4 linked regions of the Arabidopsis thaliana genome follow. The protein of the gene in region 1 purifies or fractionates together with the protein of each later gene. This does not show direct contact. Each region holds a gene or a part of one and is shown on either strand. Other genes may lie near its edges.

Region 1 (4,495 bases):
TATAAATGTGCAACCATCCCATATCAGTTATGCTGGAAATATGATGAGCATCCTCTCTCTCTTTGCTATGAAGATAGCACTAGCACAGATGAAATCTACTGGTGCGAAATATGTGAAGAAAAAATAGATACGACAACATGGTTCTACACTTGCAACATATGTTGCACCACTATCCACCATCTATGCGTGTTTTGACTCCTCTGCTTACATAAAGTGTGGTTCCACATTCAGTTGCGATGACCTAAAAGGGGAAGTTGTTCGTAACAGTAGCCAGAGTCGATTAATTTGCAAATTATGTGGCCTGTGTTGCCGAGGTTACATATACCTCAAGTTTCCTAAGTTGAATTTTTGTTCTATGTCTTGTTTAGACGGTGCCGAATCATTTCTTGATATACTGATGGGTATGGAAACAGAGGAAAATGTTATGGCAACTGGGAACGGTGTAACTGCTAAAGATGAAACTATGTCTTTGATATGGACATCAAAATCCCTTTAAATTCAATAACTATGTCCATCCTCCTTATTTTTTGCTTCTGTTCTACCATCTGTTTCCGTCTCTCTACAATTGAACAAGTACATGTATTTTTTGCGATTTTTCTTTCGTAAATTTTGTTTTCCTTGATGCCCGTAATAGAGTCTTGTCAACTATACAAAACAAACCAGCCACAAGAGTAAAAGACAGTAAACTGAGACAACAATGGAAGCTATCAAGACCTCCTAGTCACTATCATAAGGGACAAAACTAATATCGCTTGAGAAATCAAACCCAAATGCTTGCAAATGCTTCTTCCAAAGCCCTCCTCTTGCTTATCTCTAAAGAAAATCCTCCAGCTCTCTCTGCTTTCATCCTCCTCGTCGCTTCGTCTTCCATAGCGTAATGTTGACGCTCTGCTCCACCTACTATAGGTACAGGTTGTGGGCCCATTCCCGTTGGTCGTGAAGCCTGACCATATGTAGTTCCAGCCGTGACCCCATGGTTCGACGACTACAAAATGCGTAAACAAGTAAAGAGATTTCAGCTTCGTCAGGAAACTTCATCTGCTTGTTGATATGAAAATTAAAACCCAATTTACCGTGTCAGCATCTGTCTGTGGGGGTTTGGCCTTGCAAGCTGCCAAGGCTGCAGTCAATTCTTCTGCCTGTTGGAGCAAATTGTAAATACACCAAAAGCAATTTGCACAGTGATATCATATAACCAAACATGCTTTTAATCTTCTTTCTTTTCCTCTACTCATTCATCTAACCAAGATAAGAAAAAGTAAGGCTAACGTAGGCCCTACCTTACGAGCTCTATTAATCATTATCTGTTCAGCATTCTCCTTAGAATATCTCTTAATCTTCTGCTCAATCGCCTCGACATTGATTCCATCTATCAAGTCGAATACTGGTGGAATAGAAGGTAATATATACATTGGTCTTGTCTTGCATGAATAGAGAAAATAAGGAGCACAAGTGAAACTAACCCATGCACTCCACTTCTTCCAAGTAGTCATTGTAGTCTTTAAGTGATGGAAACTCCTCTTCCCGTCTATTGTATCTGCATCACCAGAAAGAAAGAAAAAAAAACATGATACTCAAGAGGCTGAAAATACTCTGCTTCTACAGAATGAAAAAATTGATACCTTAATATAAATCTATATCTCATCTGTTAGAAACTGTGACTAAAGATCTCCATTTTATGCTAAGGTATGCTAGGAAACAATGGAGCATCTCACTGGGTCCATAGATGGGAGAATTGCTTCATTAAGTGTATGCAGTGAACAAAGTATTTTCTATAAAAATGATCAGATGTGAAATTTAGCGCTATACATGCTAAGAGTCTATACTGATCAATACGCAGTAGATTGATCAAGGGGTTTAAATATCACACCATTTGCACAGGCAAGCATGATATGCAACGAGAGAAAAAGATCAGAACGAAGAATACATCTCAGAGATTCTCCTTCTGACATGTATTTCCTTATTTTGATGGGTAGAATTAGACACCATCACCATGGTTGCTTCTGCCTGGGATTCTTGTCCTTTCCTCTACCTACAAGGTTTTAGACGTGATTTCGCAAATAAAGCTGCAGCAAATATTACACAAGTCTTATTTTTACTTTCGGCTATAGAATCTTTAGAGCTGAAAACCATTATCCCAATAGGGAAAAACACATGAACGAGAAGAAACCTACGAAGAAAACAATTCCAGATAGCGAAGAAGATAAATCTGCGGATTTTCCAAGGATTTCTGAGGAACTAAGGAAGCAAGCATAAAGCACAATGTTTATGTAGACTCATGTGTAGGATATGAATTCGACACTGAAGTACAATGTTAAGCAAGCGAGAACAGAAAGTCGCCTAAAACACGATCTGAGGAAAATAGCTAATAGCTATATGCCAATTCTTCTATTCAATAGAATGCTAAAGACCGGAGAGAAGAAAAGTGAGACTCACAGGTAGAAATAAGAAGGTGAAGAGGGACGCGCGAGAGAAGACACTGAGCCCAAACCTGAAACACCCAACCGTCCGAATCCTCATTCAAAACGTCGTAGATCTCATCTTAACCCAAACAAATAAAGGTTAAAAATGAAACCTTTACCTCAGAAATTGCAGATTCCGACCAATTGAAGTTCAATGTTCAACTCAAGACAATTCACTTCCAGAAAAAAAAAAAAAAAAACAGGTTTCTTCAATTTGAACAGACAAAGGAAGAAGAAACCCCTAATTCTTTAAAATATGGGCTTAGGTCTCATGGGCCAAGTCAAGCCCAATGCTTCTGTATAATTTCGTTTAGACCCCCAATACTAGTCTAAATTCTATTTTCTACCCCAGTATTATATCCGTTACCAGATTAATACCCAGTCCTATACATCACAGATCAGACTTCACTTTCTCATTACACAAGAATATGTTGTTGTTATTCAAGGATCGTATGGCTGACAAATGGTAGAAACTTCTTTTATTAGATTCCAAGCAGCAAATGTTTATCCAAACAAACAAACAACCAGAAGAAGAAGAAGCATTGAACGTATCACTTAAAACACTGATTTATTCTCTTTCCCTCTTCTTATTTCAACGGCCTATGTGGAAAGTTTTTGATTGAGAATCCAAATCACACATTACATCAAATCAGAACTCATTATGAGTCACTAACGAGTTCAGACATGTCGCGGCTGATGCTGTTCTCATGTGTGGACAATGGAGTTCCAGATATAAAAGCCTTGAAGAGCGCAAGAGCTTGCTTCGGTCTGTGCAAAGGAACTTCATGGCCTGCACCTCTCACTGTCACAAAGTTCAGACCAGCATACTGCTGACTCCACCCTCCCACCTGTTTCAAATCATGACTGTTTATAAGTTTTTCTTATAACATAAGAAAAGGATTCTCATTTTCTCATCTTGAGTTTTGTTTTGTACCTGTCCATCTAAGTACCAAGGACCATAGGCACTCAAAGGACGAAGGTTTAGTGCATCGATACTGTACCGGGTTGATGTGACTGGTACAACGGCATCTGCGTCCCCACTGTTACCAAAGAACAAAACCTTTTCTTTTTACCACCAAAACGCCAAAACACTTGAAGAAAAGATATCGTTAAAGTGCTTTCAGTGGATATATTTAGAGAAAGAGACCTGAAAACCCAGATACGAAGCCCAGCAGCTATAAGCTCGTGGTAAATGTTTAGAACCGAGGAAGGAGAGTCATTCCAGTGTTCACTCACGACATCACTGCATAACCAAAGCTGTCGGGATCAGAATTGTTACAATACTTAAATAGGCTCATTTCCTCCAAAACCAAGTTTCTAAGATATTGCAAGGCAATTTTACCTGCAAGTATCCCATTTTGATGGTGCAAGTCCTGGTGGGACATGGAGGGCTTTTTGAACCTCTGGAAGATTGAAATAAACTGTAGTGTGTTTCTCCGTACAAGGATCATACTGTTCGCTCACGCGGCTAGTCATCTAAGTAAAATAAACAGAGAAATTAGGACACTAAAGAGTGTAACATTGAAAAGAGAAGTTTTAAGGCCACTTACAGGTCTTTTCTTTAGCAACATATTTGACTGGGAAGCATTGGCAACACAAGCTGGGGTGAAGACACTGTATTGGTCTATGTTACCTATTTCTTTGTCCGCTATCTCCAGAATCTTGTTACACTGTTTGGAGGAGTGAATAAACGATTCGAAACCGCATTGAAGTTGCAGTAAGCTGTATGTTTGGTCAGATATAAAACCCAACGACCAAATATATTGGAAAAGACCAAGCCTGTCATGGAAATCGTCCATCAGCCCATTTCCTACCTGCATCCACACATTCATCAACATTGTTTTAGAGTTTTATAACCTTTTAGAAAATGAATCATAGGGGGATCAATAAGAGGACAGGCTCACCATGTAACCCTTCAGATTTATACTGTTTTTGTCAGAACCTTGGTTATGTTTTACAATGGCTTCACTCAGCTGAGGAATGTAATGTCCTAAAACAAACCAGAAGAAACACATGAGTATTTATGGTCAAAA
Region 2 (4,746 bases), on another chromosome or scaffold:
TTGGTAACATATCAAAGCTCTCTATATGTCTCTGAAGAAAAGATCTTGCTCGAGGCTTAGACTCACCGATTTGATGGAGAAGTGGAGGAAGTGTAAGAAAGGACACTTCGCTGTGTATACCAGAGAAGGCAGGAGGTTTGTTTTACCCTTGGATTATCTCAAACATCCAATCTTTCAGGTCTTATTGGAGATGGCAGAGGAAGAGTTTGGCTCCACTATTTGTGGCCCTTTACAGGTTCCTTGCGACGGAGGTTTGATGGATCACATCCTCATGTTGTTGAGGAACAAGAGTTTGTCTGACCATGATGATGATGGTGGTGATGATGGTGTGAAGAAGACGATGAACCAGGATGTGTCCCCCATGAGCACGTCGTGCAAGGGAGCTTCATCGGTTTCATATTTCTTCCCTCTCTTTCGTTGCAACGCAGCCCATGATCAGAGCAAGCTCCAGTCTCTAGTTTTTTAACAGTTTATGGTTGTGGAGAGCGCTTTTTATACACAAAAATCTTTTCTGTTTGTATATAAATAGAAACAGAGATTCTCTATAAACCTTCAGTTTGTATATCATTATTCATTTTTGACAGAGATATATGTGGAAGAAGTAACTTAACATTTAAACCAAACAAACGGGTTAACATACCGTGAAGTGCGAGATAAGGATGGTGACAGAGCCTCCTGCTAGAGTTTTGAAGTTGTGAGCTTTGTAAGTTCTCTTCTTAAAATCTTGCCCGAAGGATTTTTGGGGATTGAAGCCAAAAATGTGACTTTGCGAATCTTCTTGTACGGTGATACCTATGTAACCCAACCAGAATTCCGGTTAAACCTAAATACCTAATGAACCACTGTCATATTAGTCAGAAAACATGAACTGCATTGTTAAAAAAAACCTGTTTTGCGACAAATCCCATGATTTCGCTCTCGGATAAGTTACTTCCAACTTTTCTTACGATATATGCCATTGGATATTGCCCAGCTTTCATGTCAGGGATGCTTCAAAAAACCATAAGAAAGAAAAGTAAAAGCTTCAGCAATTAGCAAAAAGGATCGTTAAAGAGAAGAATTTGCTTGATGGGTCAATGTTAAAAGCAAGACTTACGGTATTACTGCTGCATCAGCAATCTCTGGATGAGCAAGCAACAATGCCTCTAGTTCAGCTGGAGCAACCTAACAAACATTTCACCATTACCAAAACCCCCAACTTTACTCAGATGATCCATGCATTAAGAAAGATCAACTAAAGTTGATTGGTTACATTTTATTTATTTACCTGATAACCATTGCATTTGATGAGCTCCTTTAATCTATCAACAACAAAGACAAACCCATCACCGTCAATGTAACACAAATCTCCAGTTTTCAACCATCCTTCTGAATCAATGGTAGAAGCAGTAGCTTCTTTATTCTTGAAATAACCTATAAACAACTCAACAAGTTTGAGACAACACCAATAACAAAAAAAAAAAACATATTTCACAGGCATATGAACTAAAGATCAAGAATCAAACACCTTTCATCACAGTAGGACTTCGAATCCACAGCTCACCCGTTTGATTCACACCCAAAACCCGACCCGTATCCGGATCCACAATCTTACCTTCCACATTCGGAGCCAGTAAGCCAGAAGCTCCATACCTCTTAGTCTCCTCTTTATTAAACATAGAAGCAGCTATAGCCGTTGACTCAGTCAAACCATACCCTTGTAGGATCTTAACCTTGGGATAATTCTCAACGAACTTCTCCGTCACCTCTCTACTCAACGGAGCTCCTCCAGCCACCACAGTGTGCAACGAGCTCAGATCATACTTGGAATTAATCTCATTTGCTCCGTTAACCATAGCTACTACAATCGGCGGTACAAGAGAAAGGTACGAAGAACGATGAGTCTCCACCGCCGAGAGAAGCTTAGCCATGTCGAATTTAGGAAGAACAACGATTGTCCATCCTAACGCGATTAGCCCCGTCGCGAAACCACCGAATCCGAAGATGTGACACATTGGGATTGTGCAAATGGTTCGCTGCTCTAAACCGAACCGGGCCCGGTATGCTTGTACCAATGCGATTAGGTTACGGTGACTCAGCATTACTCCTTTACTCGTCCCCGTCGTACCTGATGAGTATAACAGAGCCGCCGTGTCGTCCTGGTTGACTCGTTGCTTAACTCGTGACTCACTCGGTTCTGTTTCAATCATCGTCTCTAACCTCCCGACTAGTTTCACGCGGTCACCGTAACTTTGCGAAGGAACGTGGTAGTCGTCCATGAGAACCACCGGGAGATTAAAATTCGACGCGGCGGCGAGTTTGGAGACGAGTTTGCATGTGGTGAAGGCGAGAACAGGACGCGAATCGCCTATCTGTTTGGAGATTTCGTCGGACGTGTTGATCGGATTAGCGGTGGTTATGATTGCGCCGAGTGACATTACGGAGAGGGAGACGATCGGGAAGAGGATTGAGTTTGGAGAGAGTATAATGACGACATTTCCTTTGCGTACACCTAATGCGTAAAGACAACCCGCGACTCTTTCGACACCGAGCCAGAGCTCAGGGAAGCTTAGTCGACGACCGGTTACGGCGTCGACGAATACGGTTTTGCCGCGATGAGGCTGTGATGCAATGAAAGACGTGACGTCGAGAAATTGGTTTGGCGGGAGAGCCATTGGCTCACGTTTGCTGTAGAATATCGATGTTGATTCGCAGAAACCGCTTTTTCGATCTACCGCCAGAGTTCTCGATTCGATTTCGCTGCCGTCGCCGTCGACGCCGTGCTTAACCGCCATGTTAAAGGACTTTGGTTGTATCGAAAGCCTCTCGGTGATTGGTCGTTAGAGATTGGTAATTACGTCGTTTCTGATTTAAGTTTTATGACGTGGACTATATTATAAAAAAGCCCACTATACTTTGAGTCTTTGATCCATTACGCCTTTGGGCCTAATGCAAACTAATTATATCTGTCCTTGGAAATTATTCAACACTATACATATGTATACAGAAAAATATATACAATGATTACAGATTTACAGTTTTCTCTCTTATTGAAAAACAATACCATCAATAAAATTAAGAAAGTCTAGCAAATTTATCCTTTCAAAGTTTGGAAGTTGATAGTTTGATTAGATCTTTGCGAAGTGTTTTGCCGGATGCAGTCTTTGGTATGGAACTTATGAATGCAACCTTTCTTATTTTCTTATACGGTGCCACCTGCTCATCAAATTATTTACCACCCAAAAATAGTTTAACTTTTAAGTAAAACAATATATGATAAAGAAGATGTTGTACGTTTTGTGATTATAGAAGTACCTGATTAGAGATGAAGTCAATAACTTCTTTTTCGGAGAGATTGCTCTCGGGCTTTCGGGCTACATAAGCCATCGGATATTGTCCGGCTTCTCTATCCGGAAACCTGTACAATGCACAAAAGAAACAAACTACATGTTTTTCGATATTTGAATGGCAAAAATCATGGTGTTTTAGTTGTTAAATATTTTACGGAATAACAGCAGCATCAAGAATGTGTGGATGAGCGATCAAAAGAGCCTCTAGTTCAGCTGGAGGCACCTGCTTATCATATATTAACCATTAGATTTTCATTTTTAAGAAAATTTACACTATTAGTAAACATAACGATGATGAACCTGATAGCCTTTGTATTTGATCAATTCTTTCAGTCGATCCACAACAAATAGAAACCCATCTTCATCGATATAGCAGAGATCTCCAGTTTTAGCCATCCTTCTAGATTAATAGTTTCATTTGTAGCTTCTTCATTTCCGAAATAACCTTTAAAGCATATAAATGTTAGTTTAATTCAAAACTATGTCTTTGCCATGCAAAAAATTGTTTTCGTTTTGTCCCAAGACAGATTTAAGAGTGTTTCTTTTGTTATTCAATAGTATTGAGTTCACTTAAATAAGTTTCATTTAATTTGCAAATGAACTGAAGCCATTCTTCGGTTAGGGTGTCCACGTTACGAATACTAATCATATCGATGTATACAAAACTCAATTACTCACACCAAATCCAAAACCCATTTTACTGCTTAAAAACTTGATCATAATATTTGTTTTATAAATAATTTCCCAATAATAAAATGTCTATTTCAAATAATCTAATTATTGCCAAATATTTAGCGTTTATTAGTGTTTGTTTACCTTTAGAAATAGAAGGACCCTTGAGCCAGAGCTCACCGGGTTGGTTCACACCCATGACCCGACCCGTATCCGGATCCACAATCCTCGCTTCAATACCGGACGACAACAACCCAACCGCACCGTATTTCAGACTCTCCTCCACAGATTCCGTCGAAGCTCCTGAACCGTGCGACTCAGTCAACGCATATCCTTGAAAAATATTAACCGTTGGATATTTCTCTAGGAAGCTATCCATAACCTCCTTGCTCAACGGTGCTCCACCACACCTAACCTTTCTCAGGGAGGTCAAATCGTACTTGGCCTTGAGCTGATCTGCACCGTTAATCATAGCTACCAAAACCGGTGGAGCCAAACTCAGAATCGTGGCTTTGTACTTCTCCACCGCTTGCATCATATCGTCGAGCCCGAATCTCCGGAGAATCACCACCGTTGAACCCGATGCTACGGAGCCCATTGCGAACGCCAATAACCCGAAGGAGTGGAACATCGGCACGGTACATACGAATATCTCGTCTCGTTTCCATTTATCGTCGATGTATTTCGCAACGTAAGCTGTTAAATTCCGGTGAGACGAGATCACTCCTTTGCTCGTCCCTGTGGT
Region 3 (6,002 bases), 5.4 Mb from region 1:
TCTTTTACCAATACAGGAGGCTCAAATTGAAGACTACTTCAAACCGATAGACAAGCATGCTAGTACCATAATGGAAATTCAGCTCGAAGGAGAGAAGAAAACGATGGGGACAATGATGAACGCAACACAACAGGAAGCTATACGAAAGATTGAAGAAGCTGAGAAACTCGCTCGGGCACGTGGAAATGCAAATGTGACTACAGATGCAAACATGGGAGATAAGATCCAGGATTCAGAGTCCTCAGCCAACGAAAAATCTCAAGCAAAATGAAGTCAGATCTTGTCTTCATGTTGACACAGAATAGATTCAGCGTCTCTGAATACATCCTCTTAGTTGATTAAACTGAGATTGTAGCCTCGCATTTGCTGAGGTTTTAATAATTTTGAAATTTGGTCAACTGAATAGAATCAAAACCGAGATTGTGTTCTGTCTAGCGTACAAGAAATTATAGAGGTGACCCTGGTTGGACCATCCCCAACGACCACGTTTTGTCAATATATGTTGTTTCAAACTTAACTTCGCCTAATAAAGTATATTGTGATTTACAATGGATCGGTCTTACAGCTTAAAGGTTTCAACTTTCAACTTCGTGGGTACCAACACCAAGTACTTTTCCTACGTTTGGGGTGCGCATGTGTTAGCAGGATAAAAACGATGGTAACTAATAGAGTAACAAGACATCAAATGGCTACTCTTTTTTCTCTTTCTGCTGAAACCTCACGAAAGACATAGTTTGTAGAATCGAAGCATGATGTTTTGTTTTAATACGAGAAGAAAATGTGAGTTTCTTCTTGTTACCTGCTTTGGGTATGAAGAAACTCACGCATCTGATTGTGAACTTCGGATTTCACAACAAGTCGCATTCTCTTAGAGTCTTCCCAAAGAAGGCCTCTCCATTCCCGAGCAAAGTCACAAGCTGCCTCAAACACATCCTGCTAACATGATTTTGGTTAATGAGATTTACTATAACGGTTTTGCGTTATGGAGAAGAGAAAATAATAAGAGGGTTCAGGTTTGTTACTTTTGAAGGAAATTCATCATAGAAGTGAGCCTGGGTCATCTCAATTCTCTGCAGATCTGTCTCCCAAAGCCGAATCTGCCAGAACAATGCATTTTTATTCAACATAAGCCTGATGAATCAGGACGTAGAGATAGTATACACTTTCAATTCTATAAACCAATCCTATACACATTTTTGTATAATCGACACTTGATGGGCATAGAGAGTATAAACCTGATCAGTGACATTTTCTGGAATAGATGGGACTCGATCAGCACATCGTGGATGAGAATTCTGCTGGAGGAAAGTTATAATCTGTGACAATCAAAAGAAAAGGAAAAAATATTTATTCAGAAACTATAAAGAGACGCATCAACAATTTGATCAACATTTCAAGGACAGTGAGGATCCGGGCAAAATCATGTATTCGATAACTTCAAAATGTTTTTCAACTGAAACCAACTGTACCTGATCTGATGTGATGCCATTGTCAAATGCATTGTACAAACTTTCCTTTGTAATGGCACAAGCAATAAGGTTTGGAAGTTGGTACTCTATCCTGGAAATAATGAAGCACCAACTACTTAGACCTAAAGGATTTTAAGACACAGAAGAGTAAAGTTTCAGGTCGATGTTCAGGAGCTTCTACCTCGCAAATAGTCGTAAAATTTCACACTGTAACTTAGATGTGGAGTACGCATACATTCTGAAGTTTGTTTCCATCACGACAAATCCCTGATGAGGAACAACAAACAACAGCGATACACAAAATCAAGAAAATTGTTGGTAGCAGGTAGATATGGGACAAGAGGGGAATAAAAAAGGTGTGACCTCTTTTCGCGCTGATGAATCTGCCAGACTGACTGATAAATTTGTAGCCAGTTTAGTAGGAATAAACCAACTGTCTTTCCTTCCCTTCAATAATCATAAAGACTGGCTCAGCATGTGATATAGTTCTATAATCATAACTTTAGCAAAGTTTTTTTTCTTTTGATATTTGGTAATAAAAAAAATATTACAAATGGTCTAAGTCTAACCTGTTGAAGCTTGACTAATCCCAAGTCTGCAAGGTCCTTGAGGGTATTGTTTTGAACCTCTGTCAAGGTATTTAAGTTATATGCCTGCAATGTGTAAGCTCACCGAAATAATTAACAAGCATCCCGCTAAATCAAGTAAGAGTAAAAACAAGAACAAGAACGCTTGAAATGACTTTTTTGTGAAGTTCTGTTATACCTGACCAGTAACATGAAAACTAAGCTCCAACAAAAACGAAATCAAGTCTGCTGGATCTACATCTCGCTCCTGAGAAACACTGGCATTGGGTTATCCATTCGGCGAAATAGAGATATCAATTTCACAAAACCTTAGGAATAATACAAACCTCGGCATTCAATATGTATTCTCGAATAATGTACCAAAGCTGGGCATTTGTATCCATCAGCTGAAAATTGAGGTCAATCAGGTTACTTACATGAATACAGGTAATTATAGACCACTGACTCACGATTTGCATACCAAAAACTGAAAGCCACTCTCAGTTAATCTCGGGCCATCTTTGTCTCTGCAATATTACATGAAGTGTATCAAATAGGGAGGCTATATGCCACCACTATGCATCTATAGACGTGTATGAAAACATTACCTCTGACTCAATAAACCTCGCTGAAAAATTTTCATCATGGATGAACTGATGCCAGTTAGTTTTTCACCTTGACCCGAATTTATAAGTTGTAGCAAGAAACACTGACAAACATAAGTACACATCATCAGATACTAACCAAGTTCATATTAAAAGATATTTGTTTTACAAATTACTTCCACCTTACTAGTATTATCAATAAGAAATTAGGAAATACACACACCTCCCATTGCTTAAGTGCATAGGTTTCGAGTTCTTGTAGGCTTGGAAGTTTAATGGCATTGTCGGAGTTCATAGGCTCTCTAGGCAAAACTCCACTGCAAAATTCAAATTTAGCTCATCAGCATCTTCTCCAAAAGCCTAGAGAAAAAACGAAAAAGGAGAGTACCGTCAATGTAAAGATGTCTTTACCCGGAAATAATATGTTTCTGAAGATTGTTCTGAAATGTAGGATTTAGGCTGTAGCTGGTTCCCCTTTTCCTGCAAAAGTACGAAGAGCAGCTTAAGAACTAAATCTGAACTATCATCTTGCCACATACAATCATAATCAATCCAAACACAGTAAATTGAAGTATAAGATGAAGCTCATAGGGTTCAATGCTCAAGTTAACATCCACCATCACTCTTTTAAATAAATATATCAAATAAACCCTCCAACGTGAATAGACAGAAGTATTGAACTAACTGAAATAAGTCAAATCATGACAGTATCAAGAATAAAGCAAGAATGCATACCTATCACTAATTTCTGAAAAAATCCTTAATTGAATCAGTCGATCAATAGCAACTCTATGTTTAGAGGTGCCATCTGCGAGCACCCACTCCTCCATCATCGTAGCAGGTACAGGAACATCAATGTACAACATCTGCAATACATACTTCTTGGCAAGAGGCGGCAAAGACCTGACACCATCTTAAGAATGTAAGATCCTCAATTTTTTCAAAATTCAACAACATAGACACATAAATTAACCTGAGAATGGCTTCGCAGATAAAGACATTGTTGTAGAGTTTGTCAAGCTTGATGGCTGGAAGTGACGCCACCATGTCCATGAAATTTTTAGCAATGATCTTAACTTGCGGCATCTTCACCAATTGGATTCCCTTACTCACTGGACCGGTTCTAAAAGAGCACAGTTTCCACGAAATTAGGGTTTATGCCACACAGCGATCAGCTCGAAGCAAACCTAGTTAACTAAAGCATCTCCTCAAAAAAAACAAATCCAAAACAGTTCTAAACAAGAACTCCAGAAAACAAATAAGGAAGGATTTAAAGTTTCGGGTTCGAGTTTGAGAACAATACAGAATTGAATTTAAAGTTTAGGTTCTCTCTTTTCTCGATGAGCTCTTCTACAATTGATCCCGATTATTTACTACCCAGAATCAAAGAAAACTGACGAAATCGATCGAAGAGGATGGCCAAGATAAATTAAGTTTTAATGGGCCTTGTGAATACTACTAATGGGCCTATCTATATAACAAAAATCGCGCCAATTTGTTTTCATGAAAATGGTTGATTAGGGAGAGATATATGCTTGACTGACCAAAATGTAAACAAAAAAAGCTTACGAAACGTTTGATCATCATCTGATAAATTGATTAGTACTGATTTATTCCATCAAAATCAAACTCATACAAACCATTACAATCTTCTTAGTGAGACACAATACATAAATTATATATGAATCTACTACGATTATTTATATTATCATCATTAATTATATTGTCCTAGAGGGCATTATTTAAATATATTAGCCATTGCATACAGAAACCATAATAAATACTATATGATAAAAACACACTGATGAAAAGTGAATCAATTAAGTAAGTAGAATGTTGGAGTCGTAGGTGGCTCCGGCAGTCCAATCAGCGGGAATAGCGTTTGGCGATTGGATCCAATTGATTCCTGCGCTTCCGTAGACTAAGAACCTCAATGTGAGAGTGCCTCTAGGTGGATTCTGCAAATCATGAACCGCTCCAAACACTCTTCTCATACGTCTCCACTCTTTGCAATCCTCCTAAAATCATACATATACATGCATACCATATAATAACGTTTAACTTTGTTTCACAAAATCATCTAAGAGTAAACTATATATTTTGATCCTCAAAAACATATATCTAAGTTTCTCAACATCTTTGATTAAATTTACCTGCCAGACTTCAACGGCGAGGATGTCATTAACACCACCAACGTACAAGACAAGGATGGCAAGATAATGAGGATTGTAGCTTTTCTCATGGATCTTATACACCAGATTATACCCTGCGTATCGGCAAGGGATCCTTTGGTACTCAACGTTGACTACACCGAAGGAGTAGAGCTGATTTTCTGTGCCGGGTCGCGCCATACGTCCGTACGCCTTAGGGCTTAAGATGAAGTCCGTGCCATCTCCTTCTCCGGAGTCCGTAGCCACTACGTATACTCCTTCCTCACTGCAGTGTGGTGGTATCTTGCACCTCACCTTTTTATAATTCATAAAATAAGTTTTTTTTTCTTTCATAATATAAGTTTAGTAATTAATGACATAGCATATACTATAATAATATTTGATGAAATATTGATTGAGATAAGTAGATAACTATATATAATAACCTGGTAACAAGCACCACAGCCAGTTCCATTGTTCCATAGTCGCCATGAAACACCACTCACTTCACCGTTATTGATATCTCTTCCAAATTCTCCATACCCACAATGTCCCCCTGCATCATCAAAAAATTAATTAATTATTCTTATTCTTTCGACAAATATTATGTATATTCTCATAATGGAAAGTTATCATTACTAATTACGCAGTTAATGGACACTTAGTGGACTCGTTTTCAATCATATATGTATTTAGAATTTGAATAAACCTTCAAAATAAAACAAAACAAGAAACCTATACGTAGATATAAAACAAAAATAATTAGTTATGGCTTATAGTGAGATATTACACCAATGTATCTTTTACCAATATATAACGTGTACAAGTCTATACAACAACTAAGAAAATGAAAAAGAATTAAGGTACACGATGTATATAGCAATAACAATTTTAATACGTACGAGGATTTGCTTTGCAATCGGGGCTGCCATAATAAGTAGCTCTAGAGTTAACAAAATCGTCGGATAGACAAAGGAGAGGCAAAAGGACAATGACTTGAACAAATAGAAGAAGCAAAACGTGAGAATGCTTCATATTGTTGTTATCTTATCTATAAATATTGTAAGATTATTAATACTTCTAACTCTTTTTCTTAACAAATGATAGGAATTGATAATAGAATTTCTTATCACAAAAGATAGTGAAGATAGATGAGAGACTTAGTAGGGTATTTATAGCTGCAGCTAGAGTGCTTATTACAATTATACAATT
Region 4 (7,896 bases), on another chromosome or scaffold:
GGAGCTTGAATTTTGTATGTCATGTCAATATGACAAGCAATGAGTAACTTTATCTGTTTTTATTTTTTTCCTCACAATGAGTAAATTAATCATTCAAATCAAAAGTTATCCATGAATGCTATGTCAAAAAAAGTTTTATGTTGAATTTTATATATTTCTAATTTGGATTGTTGTTTGATGCGATTCAAACATTGAAATCTACTACGCCATCGAAGCATTTTCTCTATTATTGTCCCATTATTATAAATATTCACCAGTAACCAAATAACCAAACAATTATGGCACTGAGAGCTTTCTTGGAGCTGTAGTAACGTCCTCAAAGCCTGTAGAGAATTTACTAATACATTGCAAACTTAAAAATGTTCAGATCGAGAAAATCTCTTTGTTGTCTCTCGCAGTTAACAATATAACGCCTAATTAACAAAAAAAAGAAAAGAAAATATTACTACAATATAAACGCATTTTTGTATCTCAATGGTCGGACAAAAAGGGACAAATGAAGATTTTCAAAAACACCAACCAAGGCTGATGAAACAATTCAAAGATCTTGCAAAGCTTTTTAGTTTTAGTTTTTTTGTCCTCTATACGTAGCCGTTTGGTCTTTCGCCGCTCTTAGCTGTTCTTCTCTGCAGATCCACTTCGTAGTGATGGAACGCAGCGTCAAGAGCCTAGCAGAGAAAACCGATTAAGATCAATTTTCAAACCGGATTACAATGCAAGGCTGTAGAAACTGGATATAGATGCAATATGAGTGGAAAATATAGACTTAACCGAGACATGATGTAATAAAAGTATAAAACTCTTCCGTAGATATTGGAAGAAGCTAACCTGTTGCATTGGACGAACCAGTAGAGAAACCTGATGCCGGAGATCAGATTGCACCGACTCTTTCATTGCCTGAGTTACATGGAGTTTAATATCAAGGAAACCGTACAGTTGACCATATATATGCAAATAAGATTCGACTACAATACTGCATCAATTTTATTTACCCAAAAATTTCATTTTCGTAAACGCATTGGTATGATTAGGAACTACTGTTTTAACATAGCAGATTTACTATCAGTTGCTTATTCTGTCAGAAAGATGAAGAATTTCAAAGCTTACCTCAAGTTTTGAATATGTATTGGACATTGCATCCTTCAGTTTACCAACCTGCATGATAATAATATAACATCACAAGAATCGACGAAAAATATTTGGTATAATAACTTGCTCTTGGTGTATAATAAGATTAAATTTCCCGTGAAAGCCTAGGAATCAATATATATAGCAATTTCTGGGACTGGGAGATTTGAAAATTGCAATAACATTACCTTGGTATGAAGATATGTGGTTGTTATCGGATAAGATGACCAAAAATGTTTCAGTAATTCTTGTATTGATGTCCAATGCTGTAGATGAAAGAAGAAAAGTCCTCTTATCCATATGCATTACTACCTAATCTTCACTAACTAGTACATATAGAGCTTCTTGTCACTTAGGACACTGGAAAATGTCGGACTTACGTGTAGAACTTCATCCTTAGTGGACTTTGGTAATCTGTCCAGAAAGCTCTCTCGTGGGTTCTTCCCATTAATATTTTTAGCAGTTGCAATGGTTCGGGTTAACGAACTGAAAACCTGAATAGGGTTAGCAATTTTTAGCTCAGGCAACAAAGCAATAAGTAATGATTTCTTTTGTCAGCACACTTTTTATTATGTGACAGAATAGCACCTCGAAAGAAACTTCAGGCTTAATCAACGGATCACTTAATCCTGTAGCTCTAATCTCTAAAATGGATTCCTTTAGTAATCCATAAGCTTCATGGACATTTCTCTTCAAGCCCTTTGCTCCTCTGGGTACATTGAGGACGTTTCCTTGTTGAGATTCAAAGTAATCACGAGGATCCTGATTCCAAAGAAGAAAGGGTAAGCGGATTAACGCAGCATCCATCATCAATTGTGAAAACCTTATATTGGCAGAAAGCCAAACCTTGATAGAAAGCGGCGCCAATGGGAAATTTTGTGGTGCTTGAAGATCCTCCATTCCTGCTACCCGGGACATTCTTTCCAATCTCTCCTGATTAGCGTCCTTGGTGGTTTCACCATCAGCTTTGCTTACTAACAGGGGTGTAAAATAGAGATGGATAGCAAGGTCAGATGAATAAAAAGCGTGGCATTGTTTAGCAGAATGAAACATCATACCTTGTTTAACCCGTGTGAGAGCCTCTGCAACAATCCTTGTATCTTCTGACTCAACATCTGCTTTCCAATTACAGGAATATTATTGTATATTTACCACCAAGAACTAAAGTCAAAAGGCCAACATAAATGTTTACACTTCCTGAACTATCTACTGTTATAAAATATTCAGATAAAAAGATTCAAATGAGGTTCTTAGAGGTGTTTACCAATGCTTCTGCCTTCCAATACAACAGCAGCATGACGATTAAGATCTTGCAAAAGTGATCGTTTAAACTGATCATTTTGTGGTTCAACAACATCCATGGTGCCATCACGCTGGATCCCGTGGTCCTGTGTTATGGGAAAGTTATATTAAGTACGATAAAGTGTATTGAAAATAACGTTTCAACCGCATACAAAGAGCACAATGTCAATGTTAAGATTAATATTTTCTAGATATCAGTTTTGAGCTCCTTCTCACACATGCTAATATTAAAGTAGTGGTCTTGTGAAAAAGCAAAAGCACTAATTCAGAGTTATTTGAAAGAAACTAAATTCCTGATTTAACAATTCAAATTAGGTTCGCTGAGAATTCTAGAAGAAAGAAACAAGTGACACACATTGGTACAGGTTTGATTCTTAACACCGTTAGTATTATCCCAGTTCTTCCCATACTATTTCTACTAGGGATAGACAATACGTAAACATCAACACTACAAACCTCGATGAAAGACTTATTCTATGTGTGAATCTGTACAGTGTTAACTGAGCATTGAACTTTCCTTTCAACAACCATTGTTGCGCAATTTGGAAATTATCCAAACCTTTCACATGCAGTGGTAGTTGACTTACCATAAGATGAGTGTAGTCGTCTCCCTGGTCAGCCTCCATGTCAAGAGTTGGATCAACCCGTCTAATCTACAGAGATGACATTTAAATCAGATGGATATGCCACAAATATTTTCTTTTCAAACAAAATATATGATAAATGATTAAACCATAGAAGAAACCTAACCTTGTGACGAGTTTCCCGAGCCAATATCTCATCAGGCTTCAGAAAGACAGCGAGTTCCTCGTCCTCAGCAGCTTCTGCTGCAGCTACTGCTGTATTTTTGGTGCTGTAAAGATATTCTGCTCTAAAATATTTTGTCCAGAAGTCTTTTTCTGTCATCTGGCGTAGGAAAATAACTACCAAAGCCAGTTAAGATTCGTCGTATTTGAGGGTTAACCTTATAAACAAAGATGGTCACAGTGAGCTGGTCTTTGTTACCTTACTCGGAACATAATTGATGAATGCCTGCCGAACAGCTGGCTTCTCAGCAAAAATCTGAAAGCGTAATGAAGAAAACATAAGTAAGAAAAGGACTGTAGCAGTTACGAAAGTAACATTTAAGTTACTTGCAATGGATTTACTGGCTAAGCAAGCACAAGATAGAATGTGGGTGAAAGACTGTTAAAAAAGTTTATATTCCTCATTTGTAGTTTCAGATTGGACTAGAAGTTCAAGCACATGATGCAACCTGAACACCTAACAATGGATTTCTGACCCAATATATCACTAGCTGCAACTTCAACCCCATAACATATAAAAAACTTATGATGACGACCTTGGAGGGATTCAGAAACTGATAGAGCAGTTACACTAATGACAAACATAGTGAACCAAAGAGCTCACCTGAAAAATTATCTCAGGTGTCAAGTTAAACGTCACTCTATTAGTCTGAAAGAAGAAAAATGAAGAAAGTGGTTAGTAAACCAGCAGAGATGTCACATGATAATATGATATATATCAACATATGAATGTAATTCAGTCGAACACATCAGTGTATGGTCATATAGATGCATTGTTTCTTTCCTACAAAAGCAGGCACATGAAAATGCTAACTAAATTGGCTGTACTAACTGCCAGAAAGGAGTTGAGATAACTATACCATACCCGCCCATCAGTAGATGGTTTGATGCCAGAAACCATCATGCTCTTAAGCCCGAGCTGCTGTTTTGACTTTCTGATGGAATCTTTACCAAGTAATTTCTGCAGCCAGAATAAAGTCGGTAACTATGAAGACATTGAAGAGAACAAAATTTTTAAAAAAATCAAACAAAGAACCAACCTTTCTTGTAGCCCAGAATTCATCTTCAGTCAGTACTTTACTTTCCACAAATTGCTTATGCAATCTCTGCAGCTCACTTTAAATCACGTATGTTACTCATATTAGAAGGAACTTGATGAGCCAATGAAACTTTGAACCCAAAAAGGCAACTTAATGTTCCAATTACATACCTATTTTCTCTCAGAAGCTTGAAGCGCAGCTCCAATTCCTTAATACTGAGTTGCTCGGAAGATGTCGAGACAACGGATTTATTAGGCTCCAATTCACATTTAGCAAGGGCCTTAGCTGTTTATAGTAAAAAAGAGGTTACAGAAACACCACGAAAGAAAACAAGAGAAATACTTTCCCAATCAATAAAAGCAAACCAAGGGACATGGAGGTTACTGATGAAATCACGGCAAGCATGCATGTCGGGATAATTTTCAAACTCAAAGATATGACTCTTTGCCTACAATCAAGGATGAGGAAACCTCAATGAACACAGAGATATAGCTTCAAAATTCACATATCTATAATGTATCATAGCTTTAATCAAAAAATGTCAACAGAAAAAACCTGCTTGTTGGTGAGATTGAGCCAAGGAGGTTTATTTGATCCTTCTTTGGTATATTTTTGACCTGAGAGATTGAACAAACACAGTGAAATTTGATAATGACTATGCAGCTATCATCATAACTGAAATCGTTTATCAACACAACATCTATTATCCAATAAGCAATGTTAATGAGAAAAGGTACAAACAATACTTTTGATGTTCTGAGTAAGTACTTTGAGCTTAGAATCTGATTTGGGATCATTAGGGACGAAGAGCAACATCCCTTCTCTCTGCAAATTTTTCGATTTTGCAAAAGAAACAGTTAAGCTGAGAGATAATATAACTCAAATAAGAGCGAAAAGTGTAATCTTCATACAATTCTGAGAAATCCAGGAGTTCCTGGATCCTTGACAGTGCTCTTGTATTTGACTAGCTTCTCTATTTGCCCACCAGCCATATCCAACTGTAGAAACGGTGGTTCTCTGTTTTCCAGTCGATCAATTCATCGGAAATCAAGCGAAATTGGAATCTAGGTTTATACTATAGAACGGGAATAAGTATCCGACCCGAATCATGACCCAACTTACTGACCCGAATTAAACTGCTACGGCCCATTATGATTGGTCATGTGATAAAATGAACAAAAAGTCAAAACTAATTAGGGGCATCAAAATGTAAGATTCATCCTTATGTCGATTTTCATCTGATCAAAGACCGGTGTGTAGATATCCGACCAAGCTTTCTTGAGAGGAGAGTACCGGTTCGGTGGAACGGCTACTTCTCTAAACTGAACTTTCCCATCAGACATTTCATGAGCCTTCAAAGTTCAATGGCTTAACCGTCATAGGCTCGGTTTCAGTTGCGGATTGAATAGACTCTGCCATGGACTTTAACACCTTCAATGACTAAATTCAAACCTGTAAAATAGCATACAACACCTTAAATTATGATAGTCTCACGACTATAATCAATATGTACCAAATTCTGTAATCTCTAGTATAAATCAATAATGAGGATAGACACAGAAAAGAAGAAAAGATACATATTTGTGCATTTATCAACTAAATTGACATCGACAAAAAAAGACCACAAACCAGATAAAGCTTCAAACGATAGATTTTTTTTGAAAGCTCTATAGAATTGAAGCTGATTACTGTACAGAAGAAGAAAAGAGTAGCTGGCTTACTAGAGGATGTCGACGGCTGAAGAAGAAGAAGGTAGACGTAGAAAGAGTTTTGAGTTCGAAATTTGGGAGGTTTTTTTGATTAGGGATCTATTTATTACAGAATGAAACGACGTCTTTAATATTTTGGGCCACTAATAAGGCCCATTATTGACGTAGTTCGTTTGCCGGGAAAAAATAATTGAAAAAAAATCTTCATTTTCCAGCATCTTATGAAGAACAATATTCCCTCTCTTCAAAATTGGAGGAAGAGATGAAGCGAATCTCAGATTCGAAGATGAAGAAGGCGATGGTGGTGGTGATAGGTAGCTGTCGAAGGTAAGTTTCTTCTGCAAGGAAATTCCATTTTGTTGTTTTCGTCGTTTTCATTTTGCGATTCTATTAGACCCATATCGGTTTACTTGTCTGATTCTTCTTTTTCACTTTGATTTTTCCTACGCATGAACACCATCCATTCCATATATCAGATTCGTGCGACATTCTAGTTTCTGATTATTTGGCAGTCACAGAGATTTCCTGATTCGAGTTCGTTTCTATGTAATTTCCTCTTAGTTTTCCGGCATTGTGGCGGATCTCAGAGGTCTTAGAGTCTGATTTTGTTTCCATTGAAGACGATCTGAAATCGCTTATGTAGCTATTGATTCAGTTTCAGGGAGTTGTTTTCTGATTTTTTTTTTTCCGGAGATTTGGTTTCTGTAAACCATGTAGTACTCACATTGGTATGTAGCACAGATTCTAGTCTTAGAGTAGAAGAATGTATATATTCCTCTGTTTTGAATTTTTCATATTAGCTAAGAAACTAGTTGGTTGATTCTCTGAAACTACTGAACCATTCCTGTTGAATTTGCTTGTAGCATGATATGTTTTAACATCTGTCACCATTACAATAAACTAGGGAAGATTACAGATCATGGGAGGATATGTATGTTTAGCTTTTTAGCTTGGTATAACTTTAGTATCATGAATCGGGTAAAATTGCTAAAAGATGATTGTAGATTTTACTTTAAAAGTTCAGAAAACTATATTAGTGTTATAGATTAACAATTCAAAGTTCAAGCTAAGAAGCTCACATTCAATCAAATCATGAATTTACATGTTGCTGTCTTATCCTTGTAAGGACAATACTTGGGTTTTGAGTTAAAACCCCCAATACTTTAATCTGTACATAAAGACCAACAAATCCTTTTGCACAAAAAATCAGTGTCCATAAATGTATTTTGTATAATTATAGCACACATACCCTTTCTGATTTCCCCTAAAATCCTTTCCAGGTACTGAGGACTTCGTGGAAGATTTCAGAAATCAAATCTCTGTCTGCGCATTGCATGAATATGTTGAACTCGTCTCGGATCTCAAATATTTTGCCAAACTTCACAAGATATCTCATGCAGCTAGCCTTCAGTTCAGGTAATTGATAGAGATAAGCATTCTGTAGCCTCTCAAGCACATTCTTTGTGTCGATATCGTCTAGAAGACTCAAGTGGCACGCCTCTTTTAAATCAGCAATATCATATTTCTCAGCTGCTTGGAGGAGTGCCAATCTGTGTATAAGAAAGTCTTCGTTTTGGATATTGCCGTAGATATAACTGAGAAAAGCTTGGCAAGCATCAAGTGGCATGTCGAGTACGTTTATTTCTGATAGTTCTTTCTCTTTCAGGTCGTGTAAAAACATGCTGCGGAAAACAGGTGAACGGGCAGCGAGAACTGCTCGGTGAGCTCCAATGCTTCCATCAGAGGCATTGATCGTTATGTCGGTGTAAATGCTTTCTGTCAACATACGTCCAAGGGATGTTACCGCAGTTACTTGCGATTGATTCTCAGTTGAACCGTTGGCCCAGATAGAGTAAAGTTCTCCACTCTGCCGAATTCAGGTAATTTATCAGTTCAGCACACATGTTTCAC

What was found.
Region 2: the proteins of AT4G30820 (region 1) and AT1G20480 purify together in Arabidopsis thaliana (affinity purification with mass spectrometry, with the first as the bait; one large-scale study listed by BioGRID). This does not show direct contact.
Region 3: the proteins of AT4G30820 (region 1) and AT4G17020 purify together in Arabidopsis thaliana (affinity purification with mass spectrometry, with the first as the bait; one large-scale study listed by BioGRID). This does not show direct contact.
Region 4: the proteins of AT4G30820 (region 1) and AT1G55750 purify together in Arabidopsis thaliana (affinity purification with mass spectrometry, with the first as the bait; one large-scale study listed by BioGRID). This does not show direct contact.

Annotation. Positions count from the first base shown.
Region 1 is NC_003075.7:15,004,644-15,009,138, reverse strand, and holds AT4G30820 (cyclin-dependent kinase-activating kinase assembly factor-related / CDK-activating kinase assembly factor-like protein), read right to left. Parts: upstream 2,646-4,495; 5' UTR 2,582-2,645; exon of another isoform or gene 2,492-2,581; 5' UTR 2,437-2,491; exon of another isoform or gene 2,033-2,436; 5' UTR 1,996-2,032; coding exon of another isoform or gene 1,953-1,995; coding exon 1,928-1,952; exon of another isoform or gene 1,646-1,927; coding exon of another isoform or gene 1,623-1,645; exon of another isoform or gene 1,538-1,622; coding exon 1,281-1,537; intron 1,140-1,280; coding exon 1,074-1,139; intron 986-1,073; coding exon 761-985; 3' UTR 515-760; downstream 1-514. Other genes in the region: scpl29 (serine carboxypeptidase-like 29), read right to left, coding at 3,122-3,310, 3,397-3,502, 3,610-3,705, 3,805-3,938, 4,013-4,276, 4,367-4,452.
Region 2 is NC_003070.9:7,094,300-7,099,045, forward strand, and holds AT1G20480 (AMP-dependent synthetase and ligase family protein), read right to left. Parts: upstream 2,849-4,746; 5' UTR 2,775-2,848; coding exon 1,508-2,774; intron 1,414-1,507; coding exon 1,268-1,413; intron 1,165-1,267; coding exon 1,097-1,164; intron 991-1,096; coding exon 888-990; intron 793-887; coding exon 679-792; 3' UTR 534-678; downstream 1-533. Other genes in the region: AT1G20470 (SAUR-like auxin-responsive protein family), read left to right, coding at 26-466; AT1G20490 (AMP-dependent synthetase and ligase family protein), read right to left, coding at 3,659-3,774, 4,146-4,746. UniProt on the Arabidopsis thaliana protein: Carboxylate--CoA ligase that may use 4-coumarate as substrate.
Region 3 is NC_003075.7:9,577,357-9,583,358, forward strand, and holds AT4G17020 (transcription factor-like protein), read right to left. Parts: upstream 4,084-6,002; 5' UTR 3,727-4,083; coding exon 3,614-3,726; intron 3,544-3,613; coding exon 3,376-3,543; intron 3,121-3,375; coding exon 3,052-3,120; intron 2,958-3,051; coding exon 2,864-2,957; intron 2,745-2,863; coding exon 2,644-2,744; intron 2,563-2,643; coding exon 2,517-2,562; intron 2,443-2,516; coding exon 2,383-2,442; intron 2,304-2,382; coding exon 2,235-2,303; intron 2,123-2,234; coding exon 2,039-2,122; intron 1,917-2,038; coding exon 1,833-1,916; intron 1,737-1,832; coding exon 1,651-1,736; intron 1,561-1,650; coding exon 1,470-1,560; intron 1,317-1,469; coding exon 1,236-1,316; intron 1,098-1,235; coding exon 1,023-1,097; intron 934-1,022; coding exon 800-933; coding exon of another isoform or gene 796-799; exon of another isoform or gene 711-795; coding exon 617-710; coding exon of another isoform or gene 583-616; 3' UTR 519-582; downstream 1-518. Other genes in the region: AT4G17010 (transcription factor IIIB), read left to right, coding at 17-271; EXLB1 (expansin-like B1), read right to left, coding at 4,461-4,658, 4,794-5,105, 5,237-5,346, 5,693-5,825. UniProt on the Arabidopsis thaliana protein: Component of the general transcription and DNA repair factor IIH (TFIIH) core complex, which is involved in general and transcription-coupled nucleotide excision repair (NER) of damaged DNA and, when complexed to CAK, in RNA transcription by RNA polymerase II.
Region 4 is NC_003070.9:20,839,868-20,847,763, forward strand, and holds AT1G55750 (BSD domain (BTF2-like transcription factors, Synapse-associated proteins and DOS2-like proteins)), read right to left. Parts: upstream 6,033-7,896; 5' UTR 5,998-6,032; intron 5,729-5,997; 5' UTR 5,269-5,728; coding exon 5,188-5,268; intron 5,102-5,187; coding exon 5,023-5,101; intron 4,894-5,022; coding exon 4,832-4,893; intron 4,725-4,831; coding exon 4,661-4,724; intron 4,562-4,660; coding exon 4,447-4,561; intron 4,353-4,446; coding exon 4,277-4,352; intron 4,198-4,276; coding exon 4,102-4,197; intron 3,886-4,101; coding exon 3,841-3,885; intron 3,493-3,840; coding exon 3,436-3,492; intron 3,337-3,435; coding exon 3,181-3,336; intron 3,084-3,180; coding exon 3,018-3,083; intron 2,517-3,017; coding exon 2,393-2,516; intron 2,244-2,392; coding exon 2,187-2,243; intron 2,103-2,186; coding exon 1,975-2,102; intron 1,891-1,974; coding exon 1,717-1,890; intron 1,623-1,716; coding exon 1,509-1,622; coding exon of another isoform or gene 1,455-1,508; exon of another isoform or gene 1,395-1,454; coding exon 1,317-1,394; coding exon of another isoform or gene 1,254-1,316; exon of another isoform or gene 1,156-1,253; and 7 more. Other genes in the region: AT1G55755 (uncharacterized protein), read left to right, coding at 6,248-6,299, 7,266-7,401, 7,652-7,709; AT1G55760 (BTB/POZ domain-containing protein), read right to left, coding at 7,250-7,852. UniProt on the Arabidopsis thaliana protein: Component of the general transcription and DNA repair factor IIH (TFIIH) core complex, which is involved in general and transcription-coupled nucleotide excision repair (NER) of damaged DNA and, when complexed to CAK, in RNA transcription by RNA polymerase II.